2 linked regions of the Drosophila melanogaster genome follow. The protein of the gene in region 2 interacts with the protein of the main gene of each other region in a pairwise test. Each region holds a gene or a part of one and is shown on either strand. Other genes may lie near its edges.

Evidence for each region.
Region 1: the proteins of CG11790 (region 2) and CG3397 interact in a two-hybrid assay, tested with the Drosophila melanogaster proteins (one large-scale study listed by BioGRID).

Annotation. Positions count from the first base shown.
Region 1 is NT_033777.3:11,980,841-11,987,836, reverse strand, and holds CG3397 (uncharacterized protein), read left to right. Parts: upstream 1-3,295; 5' UTR 3,296-3,328; coding exon 3,329-3,757; intron 3,758-3,812; coding exon 3,813-4,351; intron 4,352-4,553; coding exon 4,554-4,614; 3' UTR 4,615-4,739; downstream 4,740-6,996. Other genes in the region: mfas (midline fasciclin), read left to right, coding at 461-652, 717-1,002, 1,065-1,533, 1,606-2,288, 2,350-2,838.
Region 2 is NT_033777.3:25,043,667-25,050,662, forward strand, and holds CG11790 (uncharacterized protein), read left to right. Parts: upstream 1-4,039; 5' UTR 4,040-4,119; coding exon 4,120-4,252; exon of another isoform or gene 4,253-4,358; coding exon 4,359-4,683; intron 4,684-4,775; coding exon 4,776-4,937; intron 4,938-4,998; coding exon 4,999-5,124; intron 5,125-5,212; coding exon of another isoform or gene 5,213-5,222; exon of another isoform or gene 5,223-5,242; intron 5,243-5,605; coding exon 5,606-5,768; 3' UTR 5,769-5,789; downstream 5,790-6,996. Other genes in the region: 5PtaseI (inositol polyphosphate-5-phosphatase type I), read right to left, coding at 1-12, 69-156, 215-387, 444-623, 860-1,090, 1,306-1,383; CG11786 (uncharacterized protein), read left to right, coding at 2,707-2,815, 3,070-3,549, 3,615-3,694.

The sequences.
Region 1 (6,996 bases), about 13 Mb from region 2:
GACTCATTGTGCAAATCCATTGGGCAAACAATCGGTTAGCGAGTGCCGATCAACCGACTAAGTTGGATTGGATTCGGAGTTGTGGATATATAGGAATTTAGGGTTGAATCAAAATTATATACATATATGTATAGTGGTATATAGTGCTATATAGTGCATTGACATTTCGATTTGCATGTCTGTTATATGACCAATTCATTAGCAGGTTTGGCTATAATTTGTAGAGAACGTAAAGGGAGAATGATCATCATAGATTAAATATAGCAACAAGTTATTAGTAATTGCTCATTGAAGATAACTTATAAAACTAATGATTTGAATATATGCCTGAAATACACTATTTTTAAAGCTTATGTATTTGAGTCTCGAAAAACGATTGCCTTGAATTATATTTGTTCATTTCGCCAAACTATTACTACATCACATTGTTAACCAATAACCAATTTTTCGCTTTATTCAGACCCAATGTGTGCACCGAAAAGGAGGAAGACGAGACTGTGGCCAGTGAAACGGAGGCAGAAGAAACCGTGGACACCTTTGGCCAGGAACGTGATGGCGTTACCAACGTGGTGCGATCCCCACTCTTTGGCCAGTTCCAGTTCAGCGTTAACTCCTGCGCCGAGAAGCCCAACAAGCACGTCTGCACCAAGATGTAAGCAGATTACAGTAGGATTACCTAATCTCATCCAATTGATTGAACACTTTATCCCCTGCAGCGTGAATCAAAATGGCAAGAAGAAAACGCTGACGCTGACCCGCCAGTGCTGCTATGGATATGGACGCCCCAGAAACGCTGACTTCACAACGCCCTGCGAGAAGATCGACATCAAGGACGTGGAGGCCACGGCCAGTGACATGGGTGCCAAGCAGTTCCTGGAGAGTGCACGCACCGCCGGTGAGCTGGCCGATATGCTCGGAGCAGGCAGTGGCAAGAAGGTGACCCTCTTCGTGCCCAACGACGCCGCCTTCATGGAGTACCGTGGTCATCATCAGCAGGAGAATGTGAGCATGCCTTTGGTTACTAAAATTCATGTAAATAAATGAGAATTCTTTGCGTACAACAGAATGTGGAAGATGCCAAGGCCGAGGCTTCCAAGCCATCCATCTACAAACTGCACGCTGTTCTCGGCGAAGTTCAGCTGGAGGATGTGCCCAATGAGAAGCTTCTGCAGACGGAGCTGCCTGACCAGAAGATCCGCATCAACAGCTACCAGCTGCCTGCGGCTTTGGGCCTGGAACCCTACCGCTTTGCCGCCAACTGTGTGCCCATCGAGAAGCACGACAAGCTCTCGGAGCAGGCCCTTGTCCACACTCTGGGCGGAGTCCTGAAGCCGCTGACCAAGAACCTTATGGATATCATCAGGGAGCGTGCGGATATGTCCATTATGCGCACCGTTCTGGAGAAGACCAACCTGAGCGCCATGCTAGAGGATGACAAGCCAGTGACCATCTTTGTGCCCACCGATGCCGCCTTCGACAAGTTGGAACCTCATCTGCGTCGAGCCCTCAAGGAAGGTCGCGGTTGTGCCTCCAGTGAGTTGGTCTGGAAACTTATCCACAAGCAGCTAACTAACTAATATAATATGATTCCCATTTATCCGGTAGACATCCTGAAGAACCATTTGCTGGACCTCACCTTCTGCTCGCTGGCCACTGTTCCGGGTGCCAAGACGACGGCCTACAATCTACTGGGAGAACCCCTGCTCCTCAACCGAACCCACCGCGCTGCGAATCAGACTGGACCGACTCCCATCTACATCAATAACTTGGCCAAAATCATTGATGCCGATATCATGGGCACCAATGGTGTGCTGCACGTAATCGACACCATCCTGCCCACCGAATCGGCTCTGCCCATGACCTCGCTGATGTCGCAAAAGAACCTGACCATCTTCCAGCGATTGCTGGAGGCCTCCGGCTACGATGATCAGTTCGACGATCTGGACAACGTGACCATCTTTGCACCAACTGACAAGGCTCTGCAGAATACGGAATGGGCTCGCATGCTCAAGGAACAGCCGGAGCTGCTGAATCATAACTTGGATCTGCTGGAGTTCCTTAACTACCATGTGGTCAAGCCCATGATCAAGACCTGTGACCTGTCGGAGAAGTCCCTGCCCACGGTTGCTGGATCTAGTGTGCGTCTGAACCTGTACTCCACCCATGCTCTCTTCTCGGACGTGATGAACCGGGCAACGGTAAACTGTGCCCGTTTGGTGCACTTCGATGACGAGAGCTGCGGATCCGTTCTCCACCAGGTGGATCGTGCCTTGGCGCCTCCCAAGAATGTGAGTTCTACGAGGTTATCACGGAATTTAAAGCTTATGCTTATTTGTAAATATTCCACAGAACATGCTTAAGCTGCTGGAGGCTAATCCCAACTACAGCAAGTTCCTGGAGCTGGTTCGTAAGGCTAATCTTACACAGCTGCTGTCCAACGATTCGAGGAGTCTCACCCTGCTGGTGCCAAAGAACGATATCTTCGAGGAGCTGAACGAGTCCGGTGAGGGTTCAAAGCCCGCCGATCCCATGGCCTTGGTCAAAACCCATATCGTTGAGGATGTTGTCTGCTGTGCCGGCATTATCCCAACCAACTGGCCATTTGTCCGCTCCATCGAGTCCATCTCTGGCCAGCATCTGCGTATCACCCGCGATCGTCGTCCCAAGATCGAGAACGCCGGCGTCACCAAGTGCGATGTGGTGGCCACCAATGGAATTCTCCATGAGATCAACGACATCATCGTGCCACGCCCACAGCGCCAGCAACAGCAGCGACCCCAGCTGATCCCGCCCGGAGCTGGCTATCAGCCACAGGGCGATTTCGATGTCTTCTTCTGAGCGGTGCTCGTCCCCATCTCATGCATATTGATATATAAAGCAGATATTTATATTTACTCTTAACGATTTGTCAACTGATTGGAAGCCGCAAAAAGCTCAGAATCTCCTCTGATAAATAAAATAAATAGTATTAAAACAAACATGATCGGAGTTATGCTTATTGTTCACATGCAAGGTATTAAAAGGAATTACCTTAATTGGGAATTGGTTTTCTCTTTAAAAAATGTGGTTGGTATATGATATCACAATTTTTAGAATCATTCTTACAGAGAGCTACATTAATAATGCGAAATTACATAGTAATATATATAAAGAACTAAGAGCGAACCTTCTCTTCCACAGCTTATCACGAAGAGAAGCTTGCTAAGGGAGGCAAATCTATTTTGGAACTCACTCATACCTACATATGTTAAAATCACTTTATGCACTTATAAAGTGCCATTTTTCTAGGAGTTCTATTCATTCAAGCTTGTTAATTGAAGCGAAAAGGATGTCGGGATCACTGCCAGCTACTTTCGTCAAGGGTTTCCACGATGAGGAGAAGGTGCGTCGTATGGAGTACCGCCAACTCGGATCCACGGGTCTGCGAGTATCCAAAATTGCTTTGGGTGGTGCCACTCTCTCCAAGCTCTTCTCCGATGACTTCGATCGCGAGGAGGGCATCCTCACGGTGCAGGAAGCCATTAGATCCGGTATCAACTACATAGACACGGCTCCCTTTTATGGCCAAGGCAAATCGGAAGAGCTGCTTGGCCAGGCGCTCAAGGATGTGCCCCGGGAGGCCTATTATATAGCAACTAAAGTTGCACGTTACGAGTTGGATCCAAACAATATGTTCGACTATACGGCTGCCAAGGCTCGGGAGAGTGTGAAGCGTAGTCTGGAGCTGCTCCAGTTGGACAGGGTGGACGTACTACAGGTGTGTTTGGTATACCAATATATAGATTTGTCTATAAACTAACACCTTGTGACAGGTTCATGACGTGGATGCGGCACCTAGTCTGGACATGGTGCTGAATGAGACCATACCCGTCCTCGAGGAGTACGTCCAGGCGGGAAAGGCTCGATTCATCGGAGTCACCGCCTACGATGTGGACGTGCTGAAGGAGTGTGCCGAGCGGGGCAAAGGTCGCATCCAGGTGGTGCTCAACTATGCCCGCTACACCCTGTTGGACAACACTTTGCTGCGCCACATGAAGGCCTTCCAGGAGATGGGCGTGGGCGTTGTCTGTGCGGCCGCGCACTCTCTGGGACTCCTAAGCAACGCTGGACCCCAGTCCTGGCATCCTGGTAGTCCGGAACTCCTAGCTGTGGGCAAACGGGGAGCCGAAATCTGTCAGAAGAGGAACGTTGAGCTTGGAAAGCTGGCCATGTACTATACAATGCAACTGGATGGGGCGGCCACCTTCCTCATCGGTATCCCCAACCGAAAGCTGCTGCGGATTAACTTGGACGCGATCTTCGACGGTCTCACTTCCCACGAACAGGAAGTGCTGCAGTATCTGCGCGAAAAGTAAGTTGGCCAACAACTGGTTACGCCGAACTGTGCAAGTCGGATTTGGTGTTACCAATCCTGCTATTGCATCACGGGCACGAACTTGGCCTCGGCCTGGCCAAACTGGTTAATGGTAGCTCGATCCAGAGCAGACTGCTAGCGTTAAATCTCCATTCCAATCGCTACAATACATTGGTTTCCTTTTCTGTCTTCGTTTCAGCGTTTTTACCAAGTCCTACAGTTGGGGCTCCACTTTATCCACGGTTAACATGTTCAAATGAGCGACCACTTGGACGGGCAATCGAACTTGAGCTCCAAGACCAAGAAATCTTTGGTAATGCAGGGAGAACGGATTTAAAATAAACTTTAGATTATAATATTCACTGAAATAAAATATTAAATGAATATTTTTGAACCTATTTATTTTTTATAACAGTCGGCCTAAAGCAAACTTTATGCAAATTTATGATTAAGTTATTCCCAGATAAGATCAAGTTCAGTTGGGCCAACAGTTCAGGTCATTTAAGATTACAGATAATAATCAAACACAGCTTTGATTCAGCTGATTAATATTTGTTTTCTTTGCCTCAAAAGATCCAATGAGAAAGGCAAGAGAAGAAAGCCTCTCAAAAGCGACTACCGTTTATTGCAAAACAGAATACTTCTGAAGAGGCTTTTCATTTAAGACTACTTTCCCTTAAAAAAATCCACTCCCTCTCTTAATTTTAATTCGAGAAGAGATAATAAAAGATTTGTTCAAACACGTTAAAACCGCTCCGATACAGAACTATTCTCTCTTTGATAAGAGGCAATCTGTGTTGTTCAGAATATAAGTTATATTTATAATATTAAGCAGGCAGTACTTCTCTGACTGCCGATCGAATTTCAACAGACCGCGCAATATATTCGAATGAAAACAAAAAAACAGAAAGTTCTAGAAATTTTGGATGAAGTTGCGATTATGTATTCAATAATATAGGGCAAGGCCAATTTATGTGAGCTGCCTTGACTTATATTTATAAAATATTATAAAAATGTTGTGCAATTTAGAAGTTAATATATTTTCTTTTTTAGCTTTGATTTCGAAACAAAAATCTGGCACTAACTCTGAAGAGCTCCTTAGACAGGCACTGAAAAAAAGCCGCAAAAATCCCATTGTATCGCTACAACTAGTTGTTGCAACTATGGCTCGCTTTTCTCTTAAAAAATGTGGCTGATATACAATAATATGATTTTCAGAATCGTACTGTTTGAGAGCTAAGTTGATAATGCGAACAAAGAGCCGGAATTCTCTTCCACACCTTATCAATAAGAAAATCTTGCTAATCGGGGCAATTATATTACGGAACTCACTCAAACAAAGTGAAAAATTACTTATTTACCCCCACAGTTCTTATCTGAAAACCTGGTCCCCAAATCATATAAAAGCCCGATTTTTTTAGTTGTTCCTTTCATTCAAACTTGTTAGTTGAACAGAAAAGGATGTCGGGATCACTGCCAGCTACTTTCGTCAAGGGTTTCCACGATGAGGAGAAGGTGCGTCGTATGGAGTACCGCCAACTCGGATCCACGGGTCTGCACGTGTCTAAATTAGCTATAGGTGGCTCCCCCCTTTGCAATCTCTTCTTTGATGACTATGATCGCGAGGAGGGCATCCTTATGGTGCAGGAGGCCATTAGATCTGGCATTAACTATATAGACACAGCTCCATTCTATCGGAGGTGCTGCTTGGCCAGGCCCTAAAGGATGTACCCCGGGAGGCCTATTATATTGCCACTAAAGTGGCGCGCTACGGGCTGGATCCGAAGAATATGTTTGACTATTCGGCTGACAAAGCTCGGGAGAGTGTGAAGCGGAGTCTGGAGCGGCTCCAGTTGGACAGGGTGGACATACTACAGGTGGGTTTGGTAGATTCGTCTATAAGCTGGTGAACTAATATGGCCCTTATGACAGGTTCATGACGTGGACGCGGCACCCAATCTAGACATAGTGCTGAATGAGACCATACCCGTCCTCGAGGAGTACGTCCAGGCGGGAAAGGCTCGATTCATCGGAGTCACCGCCTACGATGTGGACGTGCTGAAGGAGTGTGCCGAGCGGGGCAAGGGTCGCATTCAGGTGGTGCTCAACTATGCTCGTTACACCCTTTTAGACAACACCTTGCTGCGCTACATGAAGGACTTCCAGAAAATGGGAGTGGGCGTTGTCTGTGCGGCCGCTCACTCATTGGGACTCTTGAGAAACGCTGGACCACATGCATCGCATCCCGGTAGTCAGGAAATCCTGGCCGTGGCCAAACGGGGGGCCGAAATCTGCCAGCAGAGGAACGTGGAGCTGGGAAAGCTGGCCATGTACTATACGATGCAACTGGATGGGGCGGCCACCTTCCTCATCGGCATCCCCAACCGAAAGCTGCTGCGGATTAACCTGGACGCGATCTTCGACGGTCTCACTTCCCACGAACAGGAAGTGCTGCAGTATTTGCGCGAAAAGTAAGTTGGCCAACAACTGGTTAGTCGGATTTGGTGTTACCAATCCTGCAATTGCATCACGGTCACGAACTAGGCCTCAACCTAGCCAGACTGGTTAATGGTGAATCTCTATTTAATCGACACCGTACATTGGTTTCCTTTTCTGTCTTTATTTCAGCGTCTTTACCAAGT
Region 2 (6,996 bases):
TTCAGTTAATTCCTAAAATAAAACGAATCTTACTTTTCTCCTCAGAATGATTGAAAGGTTTAACTTACTTTCACAACGCCTTCAGTGTCACATCTAAAATTAAAATCCCCAAAGAGGAAAAATGGCACAGTGCCATTCTGTTCGTCCAAATGGAACCTATTCAGTGTATATTAACTTATTATTAGCTAAAAGATTAGGCAGCAGCAACAGTCACCTTTCAATGGTATGAACTAGGGCTCTTCTGCGCGTCTTACAATAAACGGAGGGGAAATTTTCGCATGCAGCCAAATTGGATGCATCGTGGAATAAGTGAATGTTGACTAGATCGATGACGGTGCCATTGATTTCCCATCGGGTTCGCATAAAACCTTTTCGGGACCATTTACACTGAATAGAATATAGTAAGAATATGAACATAACTTCATGAATTGCATCAAACCTACCTCCGGAAAGAAGTGCTGTGGGAACTTGGACTTTTCTTTGGTAGCAATAGTTTCAATATTTCCGGAATAGATATGTTTATCCTTAACATCTTGAAGACTTTCTTCCCAGCTGTGAGTTAGGAAGTTCCAGATCTTCAGAGAAGCAACATCCTTATGCACAAAGTAAAGACTTCCAAGGGCCTAAAAATAATAATACAATAATGTGGGTATTTGTTTTAACCGGATATAACATTTTTGTATGTTGATATGTGAATTCAAGAGACTCATTCATCATGACTAAGCCCAGTGACTTAATTCATATTTTTTAAAAGGCTTTCGTCGCAATTTTAATTGAACAATAAGTGCGTAACGCCTCAGTTCATCCGAATTGGGTTTTTATGTGCCGATTGACCTAGAAACACGATTCACCCACCCACCGTAAAGTGCTCGGCCGATTTGAAGTCCTCGTCCATGAAGATGTGTACGCAGGTGAAGTCGCCCATTTCGGGAGCATCGCAGAGGCACCTGATGAACTCCTGGACGTACTCCATGGACTTCTCGTACGTCTTGCCGCCCACCTCCTGTAGGTGGAGGGCCAGGAAACGGGGCTGTGCGACGGCGATCTTTGCAAGAAATTCGCTTAGCCATAGCTGCAGAAGCCTCTCCGGCTGCAAATTGGATTGGAAATTCGATTATCGGCGGGCGCTGAATGTGCTGAATACCAATTTGTTTGGGAACTCGGATTCGGATATACATATCTATGTATGTCACTGGGCCCATACATAAATATGCGATTTACGCATCGTGTATGTATGGGCCGTACGTAAACATGTATACTTCCTAGCCCTGTGGACATGGCGCATCCGTTCCAACGGCCACTTACGTCCTCAAATAGGCTGCCAACGTTTGCCGTGACCAGAAACACATCCGTGCTGGACGCGTCTTCCTGTGCTGACTCCATTTGATCCCACTTTCGCCTGCGATGCAACAATTTTATTCACTTTTTATCAGCGTTCCAATTGTAAATACTAATTGAGTCAAGGCGCAGTGTGACCATACCGCCTGGCGAAAACTAGGCCATTTCGATTATTAGCTTTTAAGTGACCGTAATCGTTTATATTTCAAATATATTTATGCATATCTCTGCAGTTTTTTAATTAAACTTATTTATTTCGTTTACATTGAATAATACAATACCCCTCACGAATTTAAATAGTTAAGCTTCATTTCTTTCATATTTTGTTAACTTTAGGTTTCAGAATCGTAATTAGGTCACTTCCGGCAGTGACCGAGATAAAAGTAACGGTAATATCATGAGTACAATGGCCAGTTAAAAGTAGATATAAACAATTAAATGGCACAGGGAATAGAAATTAATGGGTTTGGACAAAGCAATAACATTGAAACTTGCAGGTTTCTAATGTTTTACAGTTCTTTGATCCTTAATATTATTATTTATCCTATTATCTTGACTAAGTTTTTGAATTTCAGTGTAACTGCAATTAAATGCGTATAAATGCAGCTCGAAATTAACAATTCATGCGGTGTGGTGGCACATTAAGCAATTTGGTGATCCGTTGTCTATATTATAAGCATATCCGCCGACATAAAACTATTAAGGCCCATTAAGACCTACGGTGTACATCATCTTTTCATTCAAACAGCTTACAGTAGTTACTGCGTACTGCGTATGACGGTTTCAATCTTTGACAGAATTCCTAAGTATCTTCAAAAGTATTACAACCGCAACACTTGTCCGAAATGTCTTCAATTTGTGTCACTTATGCAAATCCGTAATTCCCACAAAACGGGTTTAACAATTTGTCAAAAATTCGATGTCAAATGCCCAAATGAAACACAAACTGGCAAACACTATATAATATAGGCGGTTTGCTATTTCCAGGCTTTTTGAAAGTTGGGTAGTGAAAGTTGTATTGAACTCTGTGCGTCTCTTTCGAAATCTCCAACACAATCCAAGCGATTGCACGTAGCATGAATACTGAACAGCACGTGAGACGGTAGCCACATTTCTTGCAAGAATACACAAGTGAATTCAATTCCTCCACTCCGGCTCCACGCTGCACATATATGCCCTATAAGTGGGGGCCAAGCCTTACGGGGGAAATGCGATGGCAGTTATAAATACTTGCACACACGTCCGTCCACCTGATATTTTCTTTGCCACAATGTTTTCGGCCCCAAATTTATAAAGAGACGGACGGCAGGCAAACCGTTTATTGTACTTTTAGGAACCGCTTAACTCATATCTCAACGCGATCGCAAAATGCGTACCGAATACCTGGTCGTTCTGATTATATGCACTTCCTGCATTTGCATTAGTGCTGGAGATAGCTATTCCGGGGATATTCAAAGCTCGAACTCATTGGATTTCGGTGTGTGAAAGATAATAGGGATCAAAAGAGATTCTAAAGTGCTGAAAAACCTTATAGTAAAGCAAACTGAAAGTGAAATTAATAATATACACTTACAAATATATGTGTTTCTGTACTATCAATTGGCACTGAGTGCTTAAAACGATAATTCAGTGTACAAACAACTATTCAAATCTTTATGACAGAAGTCATTGGATTAACTTCTTGGATTATCCTTGAATGCTAAACTTATAAGATTCTTTCGCATTTATTAGGCAACGATAGTGGGGGCTACAGCTACAGCTCCCCGCCGAGCAACAGCTACTTGCCTCCAGCCACACCTGCTCCGGAGTACCTGCCTCCGCCGAACAATGGATACCAGTACAATCCGCCGCCGAACAACAACTACCTGCCACCGCCTAACAACAACTATCTGCCTCCTCCTCCTGAATATGGACCGCCAGCTGGCTATCCTTCCTATGGACCACCACCTCCTCCGTTTTACAAGCCAGCTCCGTTCATTCCCTACCATTCGCACGACTCCATTCTGGAAAAGCTTAAGTCCAAGATCAATCTGTATACGCTTGGAAAGATTTTGCTCAAGCTGTTGATATTCAAGAAAATCGTCAAGTTCATCGGCCTGATTTTCTTGCTCTTGGTTCTGCCGAAGCTGAAAAACATTTTCAAGGATGATATGATGTCTGGATCTGGTGAGAGCGATGGCATGGAAAGCAAACTTGTAGAGACAGATAAGGGTAAGGTGTTTCTATATAGTGCTTTAAGCATTAATTATTAATATTTATATTTCTCCCTTTTACAGATAAACTAGCCCAACAAATTGAGAACCTATACGATTTTGTAATAAACTCGATAGAAAGTTTTGAAGGAAGAAGTTCGTAGATCAATACCAAAATTAGTTATAAATGCATTGTTACAAATTGTATTACACTTGATTATTTATTTGTTAAAGTCTTATAAATAAAAGTATTTCGTATTTTACTCTTGTGTTTGAACTTGGGGCATATCATTGATTCAGACTGGTTCTTAAATCAATCCAACATCCTGATGGCTTGATACGCTTAATTAGGTTCTTGAACAGTACTCATTAAGTAGTCGGCCTATCTACCAGAATATTAGCCAAGGTACACATTTGTACCTGCAAACGTACCTAGGTACGAAAGCTGTCACCTTGCGCATCACTGGCGACGATACATTTCGCCGACTATCGATAGACGGGCTCACTCTGCGTCCGCATCCAAGTTGCGATCGGATTCATTCGCATTCGCCAGTGATCAACTCCGCTGCTGCAGATCCACAGCCAAAAAATGCTGCACATAGTATCGGTTGTTATTATAGCCCTGAGTCTGGGCTGTGCCGTTGGCCAGGATTTGCGGCGTGTGGACGACACCGAGTTGATTCAACTCCTGACCGGCAGCAGCAATGTGGTTGTCCTATTCAGTGAGTATTGGTAGGAAAGTCAGCCAGAGAAATCCAGCCTACGTGTCCACTGTGCATATGGAGGATGGTACACCGGTTACTGGCTAACGAGCACACTTAATTGCAGACAAAAACAATTGCCAGCGCTGCGTGGAATATGAGAACATGGTGACCAAGATACGTGCCCAGCTGGAGGAGACCTTGTCGGCCATTGTGGTCCAGTCGGTGGACAGCAACCTGGTATCCATCTATGACCCCAGCAAGGAGCCCGCTTTGGTGTTCTTCAGGCGAGGAATACCCATTCTATACCATGGCGAGATCAACGATGACGAAATCCTAGACTTCTTCAATGACAACTTAGAGCCAGCGGTCAAAGAGCTTTCCGACGACAACTTCGAGCACCTGACTCAAGCCTCGTCGGGTGCCACTACCGGGGACTGGTTTATCTTCTTGTAAGCTATATTAGTCATGCGTTGAGGTCGCCATCTAAGCGTCATGAGATGTACATATATGTGCACATATGCTCACCTACACCCACTTCCAGCTCTTCGGCCGAATGTACCGTCTGTCAGCGACTCTATGCCGTTTGGGAGTCTGTGGGCGGAAAGCTAAAGCGAAAGCTGAATATTGCCCGCATGAACAGTTTGGAGTCTGGAATCTCAACTGCTACGCGACTGGGAGTATTGGAAGCACCGGCTTTTATTTTGTAAGCCCTGATCGCTTTGGTTGTGTCCAAGAATAGATTATATAAATTATAATCATTACAGCTTGAGGCAAGGAAAGATGTACAAATATTCAGCCAAGCAATACAGTCCCGAAGCCTTTGTCCAGTTTGCTGAGAAGGGATATACCCAGAGCCATCCTCAACCAGTGCCCGCAATCCCAAGTGCCGTGTAAGTATTCCTCTCATAGCTAAAATGATTTTAAATTCATCCATCGATCGAATTTTAAACTCAAAGTCCGATTATGACCTTTTTATAGGGATTTGTGAGAAACTGATACATGTGTTTAGTAAGTGAGCCAAGATAAAACTTGTAAACCTATTAATAATTACTATTAGTTAACAAATACTGATTCTTTGTCCCCGGTACAAGGTTGCATATAACGCCAGTTTGAGGGTATTCAACATAGACACTGATTCCACCATCGAGCATAAAACAATTGTTAATATCACTCCGTTGATTAATATCGAACCAAATGTTAATCGTAACCGTTGTATATTATCCAGTTTGTACATAAACAATATTACATTAATCAATTATACCCTGGTTAAAACAGTTCCTGGTTTGAGAAGATCGAATTTAATACTACACAACGTTTATCCTAATAACCAATGATCAAATGAGCTAATGTTTTAACTTTCGTGCTTTTCAGAAACGAATTTTTGGGCCCACTGCAAAGTTATTTTGCAGCTGAAAACATAACATCGCTGGCGACTTTGAGTATTTTCGCCTTAGTTGCTCTCTTATTCGTTGGCAAAAAGGTTGCCAAAATATTCAGTTCAGAGCCTGCGAAAACAAAAAATAAGTCGAAATAAAACTAATATAAAGACTAAATGAAACACGACGTTTTTGAATTAGTCGAGTGACAACAATTAGCGGAAAAGTGGGCGCGAAAATTCAACTGCTGCAATTCCTAACGCCACAAAAACTGGCAGCTCTTTTGGCTGGAACGGTGGAAGCGGAACATGCAAATATGGATACCTAATATCGCAAAAGATCCATTGTTCACTGGCGCACAACGCTGACAATACCTATATCCTATCTCTTGATTGCTTTCAATTAATTAGCGGGCAAGCAAACAAAAATATTTAGATCGGCCCATTTAGCAACTGGGCTCGGAGTTCAGGGGCTAACTCGGCTAGCAATCTAGCCAATTGCTTAAGTGCGATGATAGTTTGGCGTGGAACGCTCAAATTAAAGCAGCGTTTCGTTTCGTAAAGCGTGAGATTCGCGATCGTGTTGTTAGGCAGTTTTTTTTTATTTGTTTCGCAGCGGTCATCGTTGGCGTAAGCGTATTCCTCGGAACCTGGATTTTTTGTATCTTGGGGTAAATCACTCAAAACACGCTATTTATACACCCGCTGATACCCAAATACACGCAAATGTACCCGAATTGGTGTTGGTTAAAACACAGTGCTCGCTAAATGTCAGCTGACGTCAGAAGGTCTTGAAAAAAGAGCGAGGAGTACACACGAACACAAAAACGATTACGAATACGAGTGGGACGTATATATGTGTAGTGCGGTATATCGATATCGGTAGATCGAGAGAGAACACTACACTCACACGACACTCACATTCGCATTCGCAGCGACTTTCGATTGAGATTTTGGTTGGCTGTGGCTGTAGTCAAGCGAGCGCACATGAGTCAGATTCGTAGCTTTTGTTTTGTTCAGTCGAGTGCGAGTTCTGTGCGATTCAGATACTCGCTGCCATCCGAACCGAACTGAAGTCCAAGTCGAATCTAATGTGCGTACTTACGTGTAGAACAGTTCAAGAAAATGTGCAGACATTCAACGGTCGCATTTGTGTGGATGTGTGGTTGTAGTGAAGAGTGCCAGCATTAATCGCATTTTTCCCCTGCACGAGCACCACGACTAGAAAATACTCGACACGTCTGTCTGTTTTTCTGCTTTATTGCTTCTACGCTATTCTGCTTTTCCGTTTCGGTTTTCCTCCGCTTGGCCTAGTGAAAAACAACAAATTTGATTATATTGTGTAAGTTATGTCTAGCATTGAAAAGATGAAAAGTGTCATTCCTAT